Rattus norvegicus: one gene and its partners. The protein of the gene in region 1 purifies or fractionates together with the protein of each later gene. This does not show direct contact. Links are inferred from orthologs where the notes say so. Each region holds a gene or a part of one and is shown in the gene's direction. Other genes may lie near its edges.

Region 1 (5,142 bases):
GAACCTCTTACACCACAAGAGAGTGAAGAGAAAGATAAACTTCTCACACAAGTAAACTCTTTTAAGTGGCTGAACTACTTTTAGTCAATCAATAGAAAAAAGAATAAATACCCACTTTTAGTGTATACAGTTGTCTGATCTGACATACCCATGAACACACATTTTACCACATATCTTTATTTTTATTTTTTAGAAAATTCCCTTTGTAGAAGATGCTCTCTATAAATATTGGTTGAATATATACATGGAAAACAAAAGTGTCAATTATAAAAAATAAGACGTGCCTTTTACCAATTATAATAATGCTAGTGAATCCAGATTTGAATTTTCTTAAATAATAATTTCCAACATATACCTAAAAATTAATTTTTTTGATTGACTTGCTCCCTGAAACTGTACTACACAACTTTTTTTGTTTATGAAAAATTCCTTTTGAAAGAAGTTAAGAGTTCCCAAGAAAGAATGTAAATACAATAATGAGAAATTCCTGAAGCATTTTCATGTCATCATCATGTAATTAAATAGGGAAAGTTTCCACCTTAAAGCTTTCAAGTAAGTTTTGCTTTAAAAATTTTTTTATCACACTTCTGAAATGATTTCTGGTAAGATACACAAAATGTGAACTTATGACATTGTCTTAGCCAGCTAAATTTATTTCTTGAACAATTTTTGGAACAATGTTCAAGGCACAGTAGTAGAAAATTGTCCACCGTAGTTGTTAGCTGATAGTTTGAAATGTTTTTCACAAAAAGGAAGGATTAATTCTTGAGGTGATGTATAAAGAAGTTGTAGAATGGGCTTTACAGTATCACACTGTGTCTCAGGAATAAGAGTTAATTAAAAGTAAAATAAGAGTTTTTTGTATTTATATGTTGATACAGGGCTTTTTCTTTTAATATCATAATTTTATTGAATGAATTTTGACAAAATACTTTCATAAGTTTTTGAACAAATGCCTGTAAGTCACCACAATTTAGCATGAAATACAGTTGCAGTTGGCCGAGTTTTAAGAACAACCACAGAATAAAACATTTAAATATTAATGTTTGCTTTTATTTTAATTTCAAAACTTATTTCCCGAGCACAAAAATAAAGTTGTGCCCTTTGAATGCTACACTGCTTATAAGATATTCTGAATATACAGTATAATGTGAGTATGTAATCTCAATTGAGATAATTGAGTTTATAATTAGAAGCATAATCAAGTTTTTTGTCCTTCTGAGTTGAATTTAAGCCATCTTTTTCCGATGCTACAAATTTAATGCTTAAGTTTTCTTGAGTTTCATGTTTCCCACAATGGCCTTGAATTCACTCTGTACTTGAGGATAACCTTGAACTTCTGATCCTCCTGACTTCATATCCTGCCTGTTGGAATAAAGGGGCATGTGCCAGCCACCATGTCTGTTTTATGTGATGCTCTGAATTGAACACAGGGGTTCGCCCATGTTAGGCAAGGTTCCTGCCAACTGACCTACAATATCATTGATGGAATAATAAAATTGCAAAGTGACCTAAAACACTGGCCGTTACATATTTTAGTAAAAAAGTTCAGATGCTTGAGTACTATATTTACAGAGGTCCTATTTATGAATATAGTCTTTAAAAATCATGTTATTTATTATTATTAAAAGAGGCGTGTGCATGTTTAACATCTATGGAAAGGCCATAGGACAACTTTTGAGAATCAGTTCTTTGCTTCTACAGTAGGATCCGGGGCTTGAACTCAGGTTTTCAGGCTGGTATGGCAAGCAATTTCAACTGCTGTTCCATTTGCTGGTCCTTATGAGTACAATTTTGAGCAGAAATTATTTACTCATTTTCGTCATGAATGATTGAAAGAATGTCTTCCTTTCTTTTTGGATTTTCTTTCAGTGTTCTTTCTTTTTTTTTTTTAATTTTTAAAAATCTTTTTCAGTGTTCTTTCAATTCAATACATCCACATCTACCTCTCTCTCTCTCTCTCTCTCTCTTAATTTACATGAGACCAGATCTGTGGGAAAAGCCATCGAAACACTGAGATATCAGAATTCAAGCATTTATGTTAAAATTTATATTAGAATTGTATTTTAATGTTGTGGGCATCAGAGAAATATGGAATTAAGACTACGCAATGTCTTAGGATCATAAATCAAGATAAAGTACCTGAAAAGTACATTTTCTTTAAAATAAAAAAAGCAGTTACTTCTGTAGCAGCTCAAACTCAGCTTTTGGTTTGACATTAAAGAAATGAACTTTATAAAAGGGCACATGTTAAGTATTTTAAACTGCTTTTCATGCGACATTGTACAGAGATAAGTGGGATCGTAAGTGAATTTATTAATTTGCCATCTACTGATGATGTTTAAATTTTTATTCTTAGGGTTTCACAAACTGGACTAAGAGAGATTTTAACCAGTTTATTAAGGCTAATGAGAAGTATGGTAGAGATGACATTGACAATGTAGCTCGAGAGGTAGAGGGCAAGTCCCCTGAGGAGGTCATGGAGTATTCAGGTTTGTATGTCACTTCAAACATCATACTTTAATTTTAAACGTATACATATCTTTTGACAAAAGATTTCTTTCTTTTTATATGTGAGTTTGTGTCCATGTGGATGGGACCTGTGTATAAACAAGTGCCTATAGAGCTGGAGTTACAGGTTGTGAGCTGTCTTATGTGGGTGCAAAGAACCAAATTTTGGCCCCTCTAGAAGAGCAGCAAGTGCTCTTAACCACTGAGCCATCTCTCCAAACTGTCAGGCTTCTGGAAAGAAATCTCATTAAAATAGGTTAATCTATAGGTTATTTATTTGATGTATATGAGCACACTGTAGCTGTCTTCAGACACACCAGAAGAGGGCATCAGATCCCATTACGGATGGTTGTGAGCCACCATGTGGTTGCTGGGAATTGATCTCAGGACCCCTGGAAGAGCAGTCAGTGCTCTTAACCGCTGAGCCATCTCTCCAAACCCTGTTTCTTTGTCATTAATTTAGTTGCGTCTTTGTTCAGAGATGTCAAAATGTTTTTGTGAATGAGATGTAAGTAAAGATAGGATATGATTGGCTAGGAGACAACTAAGTTTGCCAAGTAAAGCATAAACAAAAGTGGGTACTGCATGGGTTTTCTATTCTCTCATTTCACTGATCTGGTCTTTTAAAAGTCTTGTCCTGCGGCTTCTGCTTTAGCAGTTTGGATTAGTCATTGCACGTCATCTTTGAAGTATGGAGTTCTTATCAGGCACATTTAGAGACTCAACTGCCCTCAAGGAATTAAATCAGGTAGCGGGGGGCCTTATCAACTTAAGGCAATTCAGAATAGATCTAAAAAGATTTCTTGGCTAAATCTGTTCAGTGGCCCTTGAATCATTTCCCTCTCCTACTCAGCTGTGTCTTTAACCTCAATCAGAATCAGAATAGCTGTAGAGAAGCATGTGGAGTTATTATTAATTCCTGTGTCAGAGCATACCTAAACTGCCAGGCTTCTGGAAAGAAATCTCATTAAAATAGGTTAATCTATCTGTTTTCTATGTGTAGTTAAATTTCAAATAGCCTGACCTTTCAAATTTGGTCTGAATATTAGCTATTTACAGTTTGAAAGAATTTTCCATAAAAAGAATGCAATGTTAAAAAGTCATTGTATAGTTTCTTTGTTCCCTTCCTGGCCAGATATTTGAGATAACTACTGAAATTCTGTGTTTATTAGCAAAAACCAAAAGAAAACGTTAAAAACTCATAAATAAATCAAAGTTTAATCATTATAACATATAGCTTTTAGTTTATTTAGAGTACTAGCTAATGCTTAAAGAAAATCAGTTGTAACTAGAGAACACCTACCTACTCTATTTTCTTTCATGGAAACCTGAAAGGGAATTTAGAAGTTAATTTTGTCTGGATTTTATTTCATATAACATTGAATTCATAAACAGTAGCCTGGCAGTACTATTGACCTTATGGTTGGAAACAATGAGAGCTTTGGGGGAACAATAGACCATGGGAGAGATAGATTTTCATGAAAGTTGAGTGAAAAGAATGTAAAGGGACGTGGCATGGGTGTGGGTAAAAGATATCAAGTAGCCAGGCATGGAGATGCATGCCTGTGATCACGGCGTAAGGAGTCCGAGGTAGGAGAATCATGGGGTTGATGGCAGCCTAGTCTGTATAGCATGTTTGTGGTCAGCCTGGGTGTAGCGAGATCATGTTTTAAAAATATAGACTAAGGTGTCCTAGCAAGGGTCTGAGGTTCTACTTACGACTCTGAAATAAAAAAGGGAGGAATGAGAGAAAGAAAGCAGGAGAGAAAAAGAAAGATACTCTGAGCTGGGGTTTTAGTGCAATGATAGATGTTCCCTTAAAATTGTCACTAAACCAGTACCAGGAAATAAGTGTGAAAGACACAGACAGTAAAATTTTCTGAAGAATTTTCTTACTTCTACTCTCAAGTTCTATGGAGCAAACCCAAGGCCTTAAAGTCCAGGCAAGTGTTCTATGCTGGTTCTGCACACACTCCCAGCCTTTCTGAAGAATTTTCTTCAGACTTCGGGGAGATGACAGGACTGTTTAATTGTTTTTCATCGTCATGCCAGAGGCTGGGGAGAATTGAGTGGGCTTATTTGATTGATTGGTAGGAGAAGAATTGTACAAAATTGGGTGTTCATGAGTATATTGTATTTTTATGTACGAAGGTATATGCATGAGTGCATGTGTGTGTGTGTGTGCGTGGGTGATGGAGGTGCTAGTGCGTGTATGTGTGTGTTGAATGAGTAACTTGGAGGATGCATAAATGAATATTAATTACTTATGCAAACCATCATATGCTAACACACCTTTCTTGATATCCTCTAAAATGGAAGAATTTTTCAATGTAGATAATGTCATTAGAAGGCCTTTCACTGAAGTCAAAAGATGTGACATCTTAATGCAACTTGGGGATTTGAATATCTTTCTGTATGTGCCCAGTTAAAATCTCTCATCTTTTAAGAAACTATAGGTGACTAGAAATATACGATTAGTGAATGATTGCAGATATAACCAACAGCTTCTGTAGAAATAGTCACTTCGTAGGAAAAAGGTAATAAGTTTATTTTTCATTTTTGCATACTAGAAAGCTGTATTTACATTCATATGAATCTCACTTCTGTTTCAGTTCATGCAAAAGGTTTCTT
Region 2 (5,142 bases), on another chromosome or scaffold:
CTGACATCTTTTGTTTGGTGTGCAGATACAAATGCATACAAAGTACCCATGCATATAAAATAAATACATTAATAAAGGATTCTGAAAAATTATATACTATGGTTACATTAGAGTAACCTGGTATTAAGATGTTTGTCTGTACTTTTGCATCTTAACCTGAAATATAAGTAAATGCATTTGGGCAGACTTTTTTCCGTGAGGGTGTTTTGTATATATGCATACTGTTTTAAGTCATACCCCAATTCTAAAGCTCATATTTATAGGCACTCTGTGAGCTGCCTTAATAGTATGGACAAGCAATGAGACTATTGCCTGGATTTTGCATTTTATACCATTGACCGTGATTTCCCACCTGAAGTTTAGCGAGCGTAACATAACTAATTATATGAGAAAGCTTATCTTTGGGATTTTTATAAAATGATAGTACATACTTCTTAAATGAAAGAGTTTCAATTTTTTTTTTAAGATTTATTTATTATAACACTGTAGCTGTCTTCAGACACACAAAAAGAGGACTTTATATCTCATTACAGATGATTCTGAGCCACCATGTAGTTGCTGGGATTTGAACTCAATACCCCTAGAAGAGCAATCAGCGCTCTTAACTACTGAGCCCTCTCTCCAGCCCAGGTTTCAAGTTCCTTTATAAACTGTCAACCTATCAGTTTCCTCTCTCTGTCTTCTGTTTTATATTGATGTATATATGTATTTGGGGCCATTTGATTTAGGCCTCAGACATTCCACAGCTACCTGGAAGATATCATCAACTACCGTTGGGAGCTTGAAGAAGGAAAGCCCAATCCTCTGAGAGAAGCCAGTTTCCAAGACCTTCCTCTGCGTACTCGAGTGGAGATCCTGCATCGCCTCTGTGATTACCGGCTTGATGCGGATGATGTCTTTGATCTTCTCAAGGTACCTGTCTAGCAAGCGCCTTTTCTAGAGAGTAAAAAGCCAGCATTTTGAATGTGAAAATTGAAAGTATCAAGAAGCAAGAGCTTAGCTTCTTCTTGGTAGTATTCGTGCTCATAATCAATATATACACCTATATATACAGCCATACCCACATGGCCACAGGAATGCCAGCTGTGCTGGGATATGGCTTTAAATTTTGGCTCAGATAAGAGAACCTACTTGTAGGTCTTCATACAAAACAGCAATGAATTTTTTTCTGTAATTAACAGTCAAACTATTCAGGGTGAGAAGTAATTTCTAATCCCACTAAGTCAGATGATTAAATGGAACAGTTCTTATTTGAGCTTTGTGCACAGACACATAAAAGTCATATAAGTTAATGTAGTCTCTGCTGAGCATTTGTGGTAACAGTGGGAAGGCTAGTGCATATCTGGCCCTGGAGTATTTTGGGAATTGTTTTGCTGGATCTCAGCTGGAATAAGTAAGGTGCTATGTTGGGTGAAAAGATGGCTCAGTGGTTCGGAGTCCTAGTCTTCCAGAAGACCCAATTTCAGTTCCCTTGCACCCACATTGGGTAGCTTACAATTGCTTGTAATTACAGCTTCATGGGATCCAATGCCCTCTTTTTTTCCTCCATGGTTACCTGAATGTATACGTACACATGAATTAAAAATTAACATTTCTTTAAAAGTTGCTGTGGGTTATGGCAAAGGTATAGTACAAAACTTCATGAAGCAAAGCTTTCAGAACATCTGGTTGATCTGGTTGGCAATTTGCATGATAGGGGCTCACACCTGTTGGGCCTCTAATGCCAGCACTTGGGAGACTGAGGCAGAAGGATTGTTGAGAGTATAAGGCTGTTTTGGCTTAGAGTGAGAGAAGTGTATTGAGAGTTCTGATTGTACTTGGTGTGACTGTCCTTCCCTTGACGTGAGTTCACATAGATAGCAATTCTAAACCATAGTCTGATTCCTCTTTTTGTGTGAACTAACTGTGGAAGCCATGGTTGGGTATAGGGAACATCTAAAATTTCTTCACCTTGTTCATCATAGAAGGTAATGCCTTGCCATTTTGTTCTGCCTTGTATTTCATCTGCACGATAGAAAATTGCATAAAGCACACTGGCATTTTAAAATATGAGGTGTATCTGAGTATAAATTTTGAGTTGAGTTGGGGATTTAGCTCAGTGGTAGAGCCCTTGCCTAGGAAGCTCAAGGCCCTGGGCTCGGTCCCCAGCTCCGAAAAAAAGAACCAAAAAAAAAAAATTTTTTTTTTTTAGTTGACTATTTAGTTTGCTCCTCTTTCTTGTTTTTACTCATTTTTTTCAAATCTGCTTTCCTCTTCTGCATAGGGTCTGGATGCAGACAGTCTCCGAGTTGAACCTCTAGGTGAAGACAATTCAGGTGCCCTCTATTGGTACTTTTATGGGACACGAATGTACAAAGAAGACCCAGTACAAGGAAGGTCCAATGGAGAACTCTCTTTGAGCAGGTACTGTCTCTGATGTCAGGGTTGTGAAAACTGCTCTGTTAAAAATGCTATGAAAGTTAATGTATCAGAACAATACAAAACTTTCCTTTTTTCCAATGCAATAATTAGTTGCCTGCAACAGAATGGTAAAGAGTTTCATACTGAAATACAAAGGAATTACTTTATAGCCTCTGCCACAAGACTGGTGAAAAATAGTGTGATTGGAACATGGAGAAGCTGCAGACAAGCACCTGCACGGTCACAGGCTGTGTAAAGCAGCAGTCGTTGAGTAGCCTTTTCCTATTAGGATTATTAATCTGCTTTCAGGCTCCACAACCCTATGGCAGAATCTCATAGGATGCAAAGTGTGGCCTTGGATTAAGTGCTTCTTAAATAAGCAGCGGCCTTATTCCTGAGGCATCTAGAGTGATGCTCTGGTTTACTGAGACTTATTTACTATTGTGAACAGTACTTGATATTATAACAGTACTTAGGAAGGTGTTAGGTTGTTTTTAATACAGTAAATGTCAGTTTGCTTTGATTCCACATTTTGATTTTGGTTCCACATTTTGATAATCCTTATGGAAAAGAAATTGCTCTATTTCCTGTTTCTTCTATTTTTGCATAATCCAGTTTTGTATCCCTGTAGCAGAAAACACTGTAATTACTAATACAGAAATCATATTAAGTTGTTAGTACTATGCCAGAACATTTCTATTTAATGATACTGTTTCTTAGGGAAAGTGAAAGGCAAAAAAATGTCTCAAATGTTCCTGGAAAAACAGGCAAAAGAAGAGGAAGGCCTCCAAAACGAAAAAAACTACAGGAGGAGATTATATCCAGGTACGAAATCTCATTGGTCCATTTTCATAGACTCATACTGTAAGGAACCTTAGTTTCACCTCATATTTATTATTTATTTGTGCATGAAGGAGGTCATGGTGTTTGTCTTTCATGTATGTCTGTGTGATGGAGTCGCCTCCACTGGACCTTGAATTGATAGACCAATGTGAGCTGTACTATATGGGTGCTGGGAATTAAACCCAGGTCCTCTGGAATAGCAGCCAATACTCCAGTTACTGAGCCACTCTCCAGCTCCTCAGCCTGCTTTTATCTTTTTAACAATAATGTTTTATTTTTTGAGATTGTCATTATGTCATTTCCCCCTTCCCTACCTCCAAACCTCTTCTTGTGTTCTGTCTGTCTGTCTGTCTAAATTGCTTTTATTTTTTTTACAGTCCAGTCATTATCCTCCTCCAGGTCTGGCCTCCCACAGTCCCTCATCCCTCTACCCTGTCTCCAAGAAGAGGTCCCCATCCTCACCTCATCCGTACCCCTTTGCCAGGCCTCCCCACTGTCTAAGCACTGAGGCCAAACCAGGCAGTCCTGCTGTATATGTGTCGAGGGACTCATACCAGCTAATTGTTCCTGTCTAAAAGAACTGCAGGGACGAAAATGGAGAACAGACTGAGGGAAAGGAGGTCCACTGACAGGTCCAACTTGGGAGCCATCGCAATGGGAAGCTCCAAGGCCTGGCATTATTACTGATGCTATCTATGGTGCATTTACAGACAGGAGCCTAGCGTGGCCCAAAAAGCAGCTAGCTGAGACAGATGCAGATACTTACACCTAACCAATGGACTGAAGCCAGGGACCCCTGTGGTTGAATTAAGGAATGGCTGGAAGAAGCTGAGGAGGAGAGTAACCCCATAGGAAGACCTGCAGTCTCAACTAACCTGAACCCCTGAGATCTCTGAGACACGCAGCCTGCTTTCTTATAGAAGCTAAGACCACCATCTCAGGGATGGCACCACTCACAATGGGCTAGAAAATGTCCTACAGCCAGACCTTAATGAAAGCATTTCCTCAATTGAGGTTCCATTCTTTTAGATAATATTAGCTTGTGTCAAGTTGACATAAAAACTAGGCAGCAAACTGGCTTTGCTTTTTCTTCAAACTAGAGCCTTAACCATTTCTAGTAACAGAATGAAAGCCTGTTCTCACAAGTTTAGAAGTTCTACTTAATTTAGCTATCCTTTCAGTAGCAATTTCAGTTATTTCTTTTTCTTTTCCCTCTCTTACCTAAAAGGAAAAAGTCCTGTGCAGAGGCAGGAGTATCCTAAGTTCTAGGCTAGCCTGGACTCCATAGCAAGCAAGGGTATAATCAAAAGAAGGTGGTAATGGGAAGGATTCTTAAAATCACATGGCTATTACATAAGATCTGTTAAACTTAAGCAGATTACAACTGCCTATTTCTTCTTAGTGGCATTTTGGAAGACATCCTGAAGTTACTTGAGACCTATATATTGAGCATTTGTTTACACAGTCAGAAATCCTTTTAACTACCTTAATGTTGGGAAGGTAGAACTATTGTATTGGTATGCATGGGCTTATACTACCCTCTACTGGCAAGTGTCCGTCTGGAGCAGAGGCAGTGCAGTTTCATAGCCCATGTTCTTACCATCTTCCTTAGATAAGGGTAACTTAAGCTTCTCCTTTCCAGCATAGCTTGGAGTCACAGAATGAGGGCACCAGGTTGTGACTACCATTTTTCTCTTCATTGTGGTGCTGCCATAACCTTGAGACTTAGCTCACTTAGCTCTCAGTACTCCCGTTTTCTGCATTAAGCCTACCCTTCATTCTAATATTATTTCTCTTTAGAATTATTCATCCTAACTTTGAATTCTAACTTTTGACTCCAGCCCCAGCCACCATTATGTTTACTGGGTCCATTCCTACAAGAAAGACCAAACCAATATG
Region 3 (5,664 bases), on another chromosome or scaffold:
CATAGCCAGTTTGAGGCCAGCATGATACCCTGTCTCAAAACAAGTCAACATTTAAAGATATGTCTCTATTATCTTTAAAAAAATCTTTTGGCACTTAACTATTTATTTGTGTATGGGTGTGGGCATGTGTGTCACAGCTTGTATGTAGAAGTCAGAGAGAAACTTTTGGGAGCTGGATCTCTCTTTTACTTTTATTTTTGAGACAGGATCTCTCTATGTCACCCTTTTCCTCTTGAGTGCTGGGATTAAAGGTTTGCCATAATACCCTCCAGATCAAAAGGTGTGATGGCAAGGACCTTTACCCATGAGCTGTCCTGTTTGCTCTCTGTCCACACACACACATTCATGGCGTCACATGTGTCAACCCACAGCCCAGTTTGATGCCTGGTTAGATCACTCTATTTAAAATCAAACATACAAACATGTTTCAGATAAAAATCTTCATATTCTCTTGAAAAATAGAGAAGATTGGAACAGGCATGGAGGGACCTGTCTGTAATTCCAGAGTTTGTGAGGCTGAAGCAGGAGGATCACAAGTTTGAGGCCAGCCTGGAGTTCACAGTGAGAGTCTGTGGTAAAAACCCACCATCGCAGTGTGTGGTGCCGTACACCTTTGCACAGCACTCAGGAGGCAGAGGCAGGTGAATCTCTACCAGCTGGAGGGCAGCCTGGTCTACATAGTGAGTTCTAGGCCAGCCAGGGCTGCACAGCAAGACCCTGTCCTAATAAAATAAAACATCCACTATCATCAAGGAAGATCTGAAGACCTGCCTATTTGGGGCCTGCATTCCTATAGCTGTAGTCTTTGAACAAAACTTTAGCCTTTGTTTACCAAAGAATTCATAGGGCTCACTTTCTTTACTTTGGTACCACTCTCAGAGATCAACCCAAGTAAAGTGAATCAGTGATAAATTAGTAGGCAATTAGTACTTGCTTTTTTTTTAAAAAAAAAAAAAGGTTTATTTATTATTTCATGTATGCGAGTACACTACAGCTGTTTTCAGACACACCAGAAGAGGGCATCAGATCTCATAACAGATGGCTATGAACCACCACATGGTTGCTGGGATCTGAACTCAGGAGCGCTGGAAGAGCAGGCAGTCCTCTTAACCACTGAGCCATCTCTCCTACCCTAATACTTGGTTTTCAATTTTCAGGTTTATTCACTGAACCATATTGTAATTAGCCATTTGGTGGGCTGAATCATATTAACTATTTTTCTTCAAATCACTTTTTTGGTACTCACATCTATCAATAAGCACTCATATAGGTTCCTAAAACCTTTCTTTTCTTTCCAGAGGCCACACCGAGAACACTGTCTTGAGCCACCTCAATTTGGCGACATTTGGTGCATGTGTCTGGAATTTTATCTTGGTGACTAGCTCCCTAGGCCAAACCAAGACTGGTAGTTTGTCAAGTAGACATTATTTCCAGGTAACACAAACACATAACTTTGAGAAGCCAATTATAGACAGGACACCATCCTTCCTATCACAAGTTCTGGCTGAGGCGTGGAAGTTCCTAGCTGGGAAGTGGGAAAGGTGCCTGGAGGCCCGCAAGGAACCATGCTCTGGAATTTAACCCTGGCTGGTAGGGTGGGGACTCCAGGAAAGTCAGTGAAACCACCCTGGGGGTGTGGCTCCAGGCGTGCAATCCTGGAACAACTTCAGGCCCCTCTAGATCTAAGCCTTTGGGAGTTCTGTATTGGGACTGACTTATCTCCAGCTCCTGTCCCTGAGTGGGTGGCTTTGCGTGGCCACTGTCCTCAGTCTCTAGGACGCGCCTCCCCGCGAGAACCCCCTCTCCGCTTTTTCTGCATCAATTTCCCCAAAAGAACCAGTGACTTGGGGGAAGCTCGTTTTCCGGCCCGGATTTGGACAGACACGCATCGAGGTCTCCCTGAGCTCCAGTTGGTGGGGGGGTCGTCTCTCAGGAGGAGACACCAGACTGGGGGGACAGACACCCCACGCCACCCATCTCGCCCCTGCGCCGCCGCCGTCCAGCCGCGCAGGGGCGCTCCGGGGCCTCCCGGCCCCCGCCGCGCCGCTCCCGCGCTCCCCCTAGCGGCCGCCGCGCTGCCTCGCTCTGTCCCAGGCTCGTCGGGCGGCGCAGCTCACGTGACCGCGCTCCGGGCCTGCGGCCGCTGTCGGTTCCCCCAGTCACCGAGCGAGAGGGAAGAAACAAGATGGCGGCTGCAGGCGATCCGGAGCGGGGCCCCGGCAATTCGGACTGAGCCTTCTCTCTCCACCCCGCCGCTGCCGGGCCGCGCCCCTCCCGCCCGGGCCCCGGCGCCCTCCCCTCCCCCTCGGCCCCGGCGCCCCCCGGCGCCCCTCCCCCACCCCTTCCGCTCCCCCCCCCTCAAGCCGCGGCTCCGACATGAGGGGCCGGCGGGGCAGGCCGCCCAAGCAGCCCGCGGCTCCTGCTGCGGAGCGCTGCGCCCCGGCCCCGCCGCCGCCGCCGCCGCCACCACCGCCACCACCACCGCCGCCGCCGCCGCCGCCCGCCTCCGGACCCATCGGGGGGCTGCGCTCGCGGCACCGCGGCAGCAGTCGGGGCAGGTGGGCCGCCGCCCAGGCTGAGGTGGCGCCCAAGACCCGGCTGAGCTCGCCCAGGGGGGGCGGCCGCAGGAAGCAGCCACCGCCGCCGCCGGCCTCCGCCAGCAGCGCCAGCGGCCCGGGCCGGGGGGGCCGAGGAGGCGGGGGCGGCAGGACGGGGGGCGGGGGCGGCCACCTGGCCCGGACCACCTCGGCCCGCCGTGCCGTCAACAAAGTGGTGTACGATGACCACGAGAGCGAGGACGACGATGAGGAGGAGGACATGGTCTCGGAGGAGGACGAAGAGGAGGAGGAGGATGGCGACGCCGAGGAGACCCAGGATTCCGAGGACGACGAGGAAGATGACATGGAAGAAGACGACGATGACTCCGATTATCCGGAGGAGATGGAAGACGACGACGACGACGCTAGTTACTGCACGGAGAGCAGCTTCAGGAGCCATAGTACATACAGCAGCACTCCAGGTACCCACCCAGGCCGCCTGGAGACTCCTTCCCCACCTCCTCCCCTCCCCCTGGCTTGCTCCCTCTCGAGTGCAGTGCATCCTGCTTCCTAGCTCCCCCCACTCCCGGCCTGTCCCCCACGCGGAGGCCACGGCGCGTCTAGTGACAAAAAAAAAAAAAAGAAAAAGACAAAACAAAACTAGATTTGCAAGAGGAAAGAGGCGCATTGTTCAAAATGGAGATTGCATTGTTGCAGTTTGCAGGCCACACACTCGTTCGCTCTTCTTCTCCCCCCCTCCCTCTCTTTCCTCTTCAAAATTTGTGCCAAGTGCGGTGTCTCCACCAGTCAGGATTGAAACTTTGGCACACACGTATCCATTGAGCTCGTCTTTCTCTCCTTGTTTTGGTATGAGTGTTTTATTTATTTATTTTGCAATGAAAGAAGCCTCCTGCTTTGCAAACCGTTGCATGTCTAATACGTTTTGTTGTAGATTTGAAAGAAAAATGACCTGGTCCTTAAAAGTGAGAATTTAGATCGTGGCAGCACACATAGACGTGCTTCCTTTCCTATCCCCTAGTTATATAGTTTGGTAACTGTTTTGGGGGAAGGGTTGTTTTTCGGTGAGCAGGGAGCTTCCTGGGGTCCTGAGCGCTTGTTTGTGTTCTTCGAGTGAGCCCTCGTGGTCGCGTGCAACAGTTGCTGGTAAATGGCTGATTGAAGAGCAAAGCAGAGAACTAGACCAAACCAAATTTGTCAATCCTTCCGATTTAAAATTACTTTGGTTAAGTTCCAAATAAAAGTTTAACACCACGGGGGCCGTGTGTCCTAACCAGTTTGATCTTGGCTTTGCGTGGGAGATGCAGTTTCGTGGCACCTGTTGCCGAAGATGTGTGGTTGATCATCTAGGCGCAATTGCCAAAGATGAACTTTTTGAAGTCACGGTCTAGAAGTGTCAGCTTGAACCTGACAGGACTTTTTCTTGCTGTTCTGTTTCTGAGGAAAAAGCCCTACCTGGATCAGCAGTGGGTTTCATCAGTAGTGGTGAATTCTCGGATGTTTTTTCGCATTATTTCTTGAGGTTGGCCCTGAGATGTGTGTCTTGTTCAAGTAAAAGACACACATGCAATTGCTCCTTTGTATTAAATGAATAGTTATGGGACTGGGGGGGGGTGGTCCTTAACTTGTAGCAACAGACTGTCAGGCTTTTTTTTTTTTATGTCTCTATTAACCAGGATTCATAAAATTAAGGTCTAATTGTAAGGACATTTGCAGAGTAAATGAGGACATAGGGTCTTTCTAGGAGAGTCTGTCTTACTGTTTTCAGGGACGATGAGGGTACTAGGAGTGCTTAAATGTAAGTGTTTTCGTTTTTTATAAGTTCCTAACTGCTGCAAGTATGAGAATTAAGCCAGATTAGATTGGTTAACACCAAGTGAAAAAAGCCAATTTCTTTTGCCTGACTGTAAGAAGGTTGCCTATTTTATGGGCTTGGAGGGAGGCTATCTTTTTTTTTTTAATAAAGATTTATTTATTGTATATAAGTACACTGTAGCTGTCTTCAGACACATCAGAAGAGGGCATCAGATCCCATTACAGATGGTTATGAGCCACCATGTGGTTGCTGGGATTTGAACTCAGGACCTTAGGAAGAGCAGTCAGTGCTCTTAACCACTGAACCATCTCTCCAGCCCGGGAGGCCATTTTTTAGCAAGTTTAATTTCTTGCTTACTTAGTTTAGAGTGTCTTTTATAGGTTTTTACTGTAAGAAACAACATGTTGGGCATCTGTATCAAGAGCTCAGAATCGAACTGAAGACTGCCCACAGCAGTGGGGGAAGTTAGTTTTTGGGTTAGGACTCAGGCATTTTGGCTGGGCAGTTAAGCTAACTTTTAACTCCTTGAAGACCTGGCCAATAGTACCGATCAGTTGAAGGCCATTAAAATGCTGAATTAAATTGCAATTTGTGGTTAAAGATCCTTTTTAAACAACCATGTAAAATTTGGGAAATTTTTTTTTGTAAATAGGTTTTTATTTTGTTTTGTTTTGTTTTGAGAGACAGGGTCTCTACATAGCCCTGGCTGTTCTAGTACTCACTATATAGATAGATCAGGCTGGCTTTGAACTCACAGAGATCCACCTGCCTCTCTGTCTCTAGAGTACTTGGCAAGCTTGTATACTTAGGATACTTCAATGCCATTTTTCTTCTGATGACACTTATCGTCTACCTCTGTGTACACTTGTCCTATGATTATGTGGATTAATAACTTCAGGAGTAAGTTTTACCCTTAAACATTCTGTAACTCCTAACAGACACACACACTGCAGATATGTATAAAAAGTCTGATTGGATAACTTGTTGTTAGGGGAGAAATTTGATAATTCTCTAGTAGGTGCCATAACTTAAATGTTCAGGTTTTCAGACACTCAAGTTGGTGTAATTAGATTTGGATAAACACTTCAACCAGTAACTCTTTCTAACAGTAGACAGTATACTTAAAAAAAAAAGGACTATTAAAAGGATGTATTTTTATTGTTATTTTTGAAAATTATGCGTATGTCTATGTGAATGAGAGTATGTGCGCGTGGTATAGGTGTCTGCAGGGACCAGAGGTGAGGTGTCAGATCTCTTGGAGCTGGAGTTTCAGGTGGTCCGTGAGCCATCTGA
Region 4 (5,724 bases), on another chromosome or scaffold:
TTGGGGATTTAGCTCAGTGGTAGAGCGCTTGCCTAGCAAGCACAAGGCCCTGGGTTCGGTCCCCAGCTCCGAAAAAAAGAAAAAAAAAAAAAGAAAAAAGAAAAAAACTGTAGACGTATCACCAACCCCTACATATGACATGTAACAAGTACCCAGTAAATATTACCAGGCTAGGGAGATGCCTTAGTAACTAAAGCATTTGGAGGGCAAAGCATGAGGCCCTGAGTTCAAATATCCAGAACCCACATAAAGCCAGGCACAGCGGACATCTGTGATCTCATTGCTCCTACTATAAAATAGAAAGCAGAGAATCCTCTGAAGCTTGTGGGCTAGCCTGCAATAAGATTCTGTAAACAGCCAAAAAGAGATCCTCTTTTAAGGTAGAAGGCAAAGAAAGACCAACTTCCAAAGTTGTCCTCTGACCTCCACATCAGCACCATGTGAATGTTCATGCTCACACATATCTATGTACACACACTATACATAGAGAGAGACAAGTAAATGAAATTATACTAAGCTATTATCAATCTCCCTTTTAAAGATGCTATGCAGTCACTACGACTACCTTATTGCTCCTAATATATAATTATATTTTATCCCTTTATTTGGTGGGCATGGGTGCCATGGTACACACAAGGAGGTTAACAGGAAGGCCATCCTGTAATGAACCCAGAGACTACACAGCTCACTGAGCCATCTCACCCTGTCCCCTTTTTAACTTTTTTTTTTTCCGGAGCTGGGGACCGAACCCAGGGCCTTGGTTGCTAGGCAAGCGCTCTACCTCTGAGCCAAATCCCCAACCCCCCCTTTTTAACTTTTAAGGACAGTGTCCTTTTCTTCTTCTATTTATACTTATTGACTGTCAAATATATGAGAGGACCTGTTTGGGACATAGAGAATAGCAATAAACAAACACTTGGTTCTAAACAGCTTCTAATTTAAATTAGAGATAGGGATCTAGTGGCCTGGGCTGCACCTGGCCTAGGAGTAATTTATCTTGGCAGGCACTTTTAGCCCATGTCTTAAAAACTGAAATGGTCCTATAATGTTAGATTTCTGGCTTTTCTCCTAGATCAAAATGCCTGACAGCACCAGTTCTAGCTAAATGGTGGCTGGAACTAAGGCTTATGACATCCTTAAGACAGGCCTGTTCTAAGTGCAGAATTCTCTCCATCAGAACAATCCCTTAGCATCATCACCCTAAAACTGTTGGATCGTTTTGTTTTGTTTCTCCAAATAGGAAAATGTTTCTTTGTAACGTCTCCATTAAAAATAGGAAAAAGTCTTGGAACATGTTTCAAGAAAAAAAAAAAGAAAGAAAAATTAAGAAGGAAATAAGCATTAGTTCTCAGGAGTATTTTTTTTTCTGTGCTTAATATGAAAATTATACAACTTAAAGCGACATTGTAAATGTTAACTCAAGTGATGATGATTTTGATAAGAAAAATGTAAGATGACTCACATAATGAATTAAAAAATACTTTAACACGGGTTTTTGAATGAGAATACAATGCATTATTCTTACAGTCAAATGCTTTTCGCCCTTTCATTACCGAACCAGTCCGAATTGAGCTGCGAAGTCTCATCAAGCTTTTGAGATTGCCCAGGTTACTGCTGTCCGAATAATAGCATTTTTTTAAACGAAATTTTAGATAAAAGTTATTCTTAATACAATTATCACAAAGTTGTGAAGGGAATGAAATTAAAGATGGACAATTCTAATGCATAATTCGGTGTAGTAGAATTGAATGAAAAGCTACACTGAGTTCCGGAAAAAAAGGGATGGGGAGGGCCACTCAAGTGTCCGTAGTCCGCGATTTCGCGGGATCAAAGCAGATTCCAAAGGGCTGTGTTCTGAGCCTCTGGGGGCGGACAATACTGAGATTGCGAAAGCACTCCCAAGTCTTGGCCCCGCCCACTTCTTCTAGAGGCCCCGCCCACTCGTCGGTCCCAGTCCTGCCTTGTCGGGCTCAGTCTACGCCTACCCCTTCCAAACTAAGCACCAGGCCGCACGGTTGCCTAGCAGCGGCGCACGGCACGATGGGAGAATAGACGGAAACCTCAGAGAGTCAAACTTAGTTTAGTCCGAAAGCTCCAGCGATGTGTAGTAAGAAACAAGCCTGGAGTGGAACGTCCAGGATGCGGTGGAAGCGGATGGAAACCTCAATGGTCCGAAACAACTGCGACATGGAAAAGCTGGGCTACCCTGGAGACTTGTGGCGGGGTTGATGTAGCAGAGAAGTTGTGGTGCGCAAAGCACTGTGGGACACTGGCAACGTAGGGTAGGACGGAAGCTTCCGAGGGTCATATCTTAGCGACGCGGGAAGTCCAGACACCAGAACTGTCTGCGAGGAGACCTGAGGAGGAGGGTAGGGCCCAAGCGGAGGCAATGGCGGAGAGGCCTGAGGACCTAAATCTGCCCAACGCCGTCATTACCAGGATCATCAAGGAGGCGGTGAGCTGCTCGGGCTGGAGAATGGGTCGAGGGCGGACGTGTGCCAGAAAGTTAACAGAATCCGCATGTGTGTTCATCTCCACTCTCCCTGCAGCTACCGGACGGTGTCAACATCTCCAAGGAGGCCCGAAGCGCCATCTCCCGCGCGGCCAGTGTTTTCGTTTTGTATGCCACATCCTGGTAAGCCGAGCAGAGGCGGAAGGGAGGCGCAGCGGGATCCTAACCCTGCGTTCGTGTCCTGGAACCCACAGGCCCCAGTTCCCTGCTTCACTAGAGAGCGACTCACAGCTCTCCTGCAGCCTCACAAATTCTGAGGCAGGTTAAACAAGACGGTTGTCGTAGCCCTTTGTACGGGGAAGGGATGAATTGAGCTGTGCCATACAAAAACCCATTCATCTAAGATAAATGTGGCTTTTCCCACCCCATCTCTGGCTGTCTCATGTCCCCACCACTTTGACAAGCTTCTGAAGGGCTTTGCTCTTTCTTCCAGTGCCAATAACTTTGCAATGAAAGGAAAGCGCAAGACTCTCAATGCCAGTGATGTACTGTCAGCCATGGAAGAGATGGAGTTCCAACGGTTCGTAACGCCATTGAAAGAAGCGCTAGAAGGTATCCATGTGCTCTTCTGCTTCTTAAACCACGTGAAAGATGTTCATCCTTTGTTCCCTGATCACCTGATTTCAATACTACTGCCATTAGGTCCCATTCACTGGTCCAGGACTGGTCATGATTCCACTCTGTTGAGTTGGTACCATTTCGAATATGTGATATGGGCCTGTTTATTCCTCTGGTGCCTCACTCGGTTTGTCTAATTAAACAATAATCCCCTGCTTCCTTACAGCATACAGGCGGGAGCAGAAAGGCAAGAAGGAAGCCTCAGAGCAAAAGAAGAAGGACAAAGACAAAAAAGATTGCGAAGAGCAGGACAAAAGCAGAGAGGAGGAGGATGAAGATGAAGAAAGACTGGATGAGGAAGAACAGAACGAAGAGGAGGAGGTAGACAACTGACTGGAGAGAGTGGGCAGACTCTGACACGGTGGAAGGGACCCTCAGATACTGAGATGTGTTTATGTGAAGCCTCTCCCTGCAAGGCAGAGCCATCTTCCGCAACGGTGCCTGAGATCAAAATAAAAACTGACCAGAAAGATCAAAGCTAGCTAGCTCTTCCCAAACTCAGAGCGTCTGAGTTACAGAAACCAGCTTTGCTTCATCAGTCTGCAGGTTATGCCTTATTAGTGTAAGGGATTCCGAATGACTACATAGTTTGGTATTGCTTGTTTACTTAAAGTGTATAGCTAGCTAGTTTTTGATCCTATTTCCCTGCTCCTCCAAAAAAGTAATAACATGTTTCTTGCTGCGTTCCAAGTTGCAGAGTTGCTAACCGGTCAGGGGGAAATGGGGCTTGGACCATGGTCACCCTGTTTGACTGTACAGTAATTGACAATAGATATTAATGCTCAGAATGGTTGCTCTTTAGGAAATGACTAAAAAGCTGTGAGAGAATAAGGAAATCTCCTCACTCGATGGTAGCATTGCTTGGCTTCTGGCTTTCTACACTTAGCTTTGTAGTCCTGTAGTGACTGTAGATGCCCAGTGCTCTGGTGTGGCTCCACTCCTAAGACATATACTCTTAAATTCTGAGTGTTGGTTAGAATCTGTCAAAAAAGGGTGCCAACTCCCCACCCCCACCCCCCCAGAGATGAGGATTGAACTCAGGGCCTTGCTAGGCAAGCGCTCAACCACTGAGCTAAATCCTCAACCCCAAGGGTGCCAATTCTTAAAAGCAGGTGGCTTAAACTTGGCGGTAACTCAGTGCCTGCCACTGTAGAACCTAGTGCCACCTCTTGGAAGGTATAAAATCCCAGATTGTCTCTTCTCTAGTCCACCTCTCAGATGATGGCTGCTGCTTTTTATCCCCTGAACTCATAGCAAGTTCCAGAGACTTTATCTCCTCCAGGCACAGCCTTTCTGTCTCCATCTCTCCCGCCTCTGCTTCCCAGCCCTGCTTTCTCCTCCTCTTATTCATTTCATCTTCTAGTCTAGGGACTCTGATAAAGTGCAAGGTCCTCAGATTGTTTCCTCATCTCCTGTCTTTTAAAGAGACTTGAGAAGCACCTCTGACCCTGAAGGTGAGAGAAACGGTGCTCAGGAATGTGGCACCACTGCTGCAGCTTTGAGCGTGCCTGTTGGCCTTTCTTTTCCCCATTTAGTGCTCCAAGCACTTTCTCTGTCTTAGTTGTGCACATGAGGCTGACAGGTAATGTAATATAGTTGAACACTGTTAACTAGTCAGGGAAATACAGGGAAGAGTTTGTTGAAAGTGACTGGAGACTGTTGAGAAGATTTTAATGCTTTCTACAAATAAATTCTTGTTTAAATGATGACCCACACAATGTACTTTTGGAAAGGACTCACCAAGACACCCCTCTTTTACCCCCTAACCTCAGCACACATACAGAGTCCTGTGTCTTCTTGGGTTACCAGCAGGTGAATAAGTAATCACAATTTAAGGGCACTGCTCTTCCTGAGATTCTCCTGGTTACTTTGTATATCTCACTAGCTCCCACTTCCTAAGCTCTTCCAGTGTCTAGCATTGTTCTAAGTGCTTTCAAGTATCAATTCCTATCCATAGATGTTGCCTCTATTAGCTCTCAACCACAGCTCTGTATCTCCAGTACACACAGTTCTCAAGTCATATTCACAAAGAACCCCAGTGGTCCTTTGGTTTATAGGCTTTTTCCTTCACAGCAGAAACATTGTTTAATTCCCATAAGCACAGTGCTAGACCTACTCAAGTCCCATTTATAATCCTGTGATTTCCTTTGAACTCAGTTTCAAATGTATAACTATATGCCAAGTAGATCTTCCTAGAATATACCTTTGCTTTCAGTGAGATCAAATCCATAGTTAAACCTGTTATTCAAGGCTTGTGTAAGAAGGGCTTACCCTACCATCTAATCTCCACTCTAAGGCTGTCAAGAATTGGAAGGGGCTCAGTCACAGAGCACTTGCCTAGCATGTTCAAACAAAACAAAAACCAAACTCTTCCATGTCTCGGGTTTGTCCTGCCCAATCGCTTAACTATAACATTCTAAGAGAAACCTTTTCTGGGAATGGAGGTTTGGATTTAAAAGTAAAGAATTCAACATCTGGAAAGACTCTGAGGTCATCCATCAGTTTTTTCTCAATCACACCTACATCATCTCATAATGGCATCTGGATTCTGAAGGTTTTCCATCAGACTTTCTCATCTCTTTAAACAATGAACA

The links.
Region 2: the proteins of Smarca1 (region 1) and Cecr2 purify together in Homo sapiens (affinity purification with mass spectrometry; 3 studies listed by BioGRID and IntAct, with this or other methods). This does not show direct contact. The link is inferred for Rattus norvegicus from reciprocal best matches to the Homo sapiens genes SMARCA1 and CECR2.
Region 3: the proteins of Smarca1 (region 1) and Bptf purify together in Homo sapiens (affinity purification with mass spectrometry; 4 studies listed by BioGRID and IntAct, with this or other methods). This does not show direct contact. The link is inferred for Rattus norvegicus from reciprocal best matches to the Homo sapiens genes SMARCA1 and BPTF.
Region 4: the proteins of Smarca1 (region 1) and Pole3 purify together in Homo sapiens (affinity purification with mass spectrometry; 3 studies listed by BioGRID and IntAct, with this or other methods). This does not show direct contact. The link is inferred for Rattus norvegicus from reciprocal best matches to the Homo sapiens genes SMARCA1 and POLE3.

What each region holds. Positions count from the first base shown.
Region 1 is NC_086039.1:131,887,778-131,892,919, reverse strand, and holds part of Smarca1 (probable global transcription activator SNF2L1), read left to right. Parts: coding exon 1-51; intron 52-2,359; coding exon 2,360-2,492; intron 2,493-5,142.
Region 2 is NC_086022.1:155,627,665-155,632,806, forward strand, and holds part of Cecr2 (cat eye syndrome critical region protein 2), read left to right. Parts: intron 1-728; coding exon 729-912; intron 913-2,263; coding exon 2,264-2,403; intron 2,404-3,120; coding exon 3,121-3,225; intron 3,226-5,142. UniProt on the Homo sapiens protein: Regulatory subunit of the ATP-dependent CERF-1 and CERF-5 ISWI chromatin remodeling complexes, which form ordered nucleosome arrays on chromatin and facilitate access to DNA during DNA-templated processes such as DNA replication, transcription, and repair.
Region 3 is NC_086028.1:92,578,907-92,584,570, reverse strand, and holds the start of Bptf (bromodomain PHD finger transcription factor), read left to right. Parts: upstream 1-2,157; 5' UTR 2,158-2,376; coding exon 2,377-3,019; intron 3,020-5,664. UniProt on the Homo sapiens protein: Regulatory subunit of the ATP-dependent NURF-1 and NURF-5 ISWI chromatin remodeling complexes, which form ordered nucleosome arrays on chromatin and facilitate access to DNA during DNA-templated processes such as DNA replication, transcription, and repair.
Region 4 is NC_086023.1:80,989,395-80,995,118, reverse strand, and holds Pole3 (DNA polymerase epsilon subunit 3), read left to right. Parts: upstream 1-2,376; 5' UTR 2,377-2,389; coding exon 2,390-2,455; intron 2,456-2,549; coding exon 2,550-2,635; intron 2,636-2,945; coding exon 2,946-3,064; intron 3,065-3,296; coding exon 3,297-3,463; 3' UTR 3,464-5,611; downstream 5,612-5,724. Other genes in the region: C5h9orf43 (uncharacterized protein C9orf43 homolog), read right to left, coding at 1,526-1,586. UniProt on the Homo sapiens protein: Accessory component of the DNA polymerase epsilon complex. Participates in DNA repair and in chromosomal DNA replication.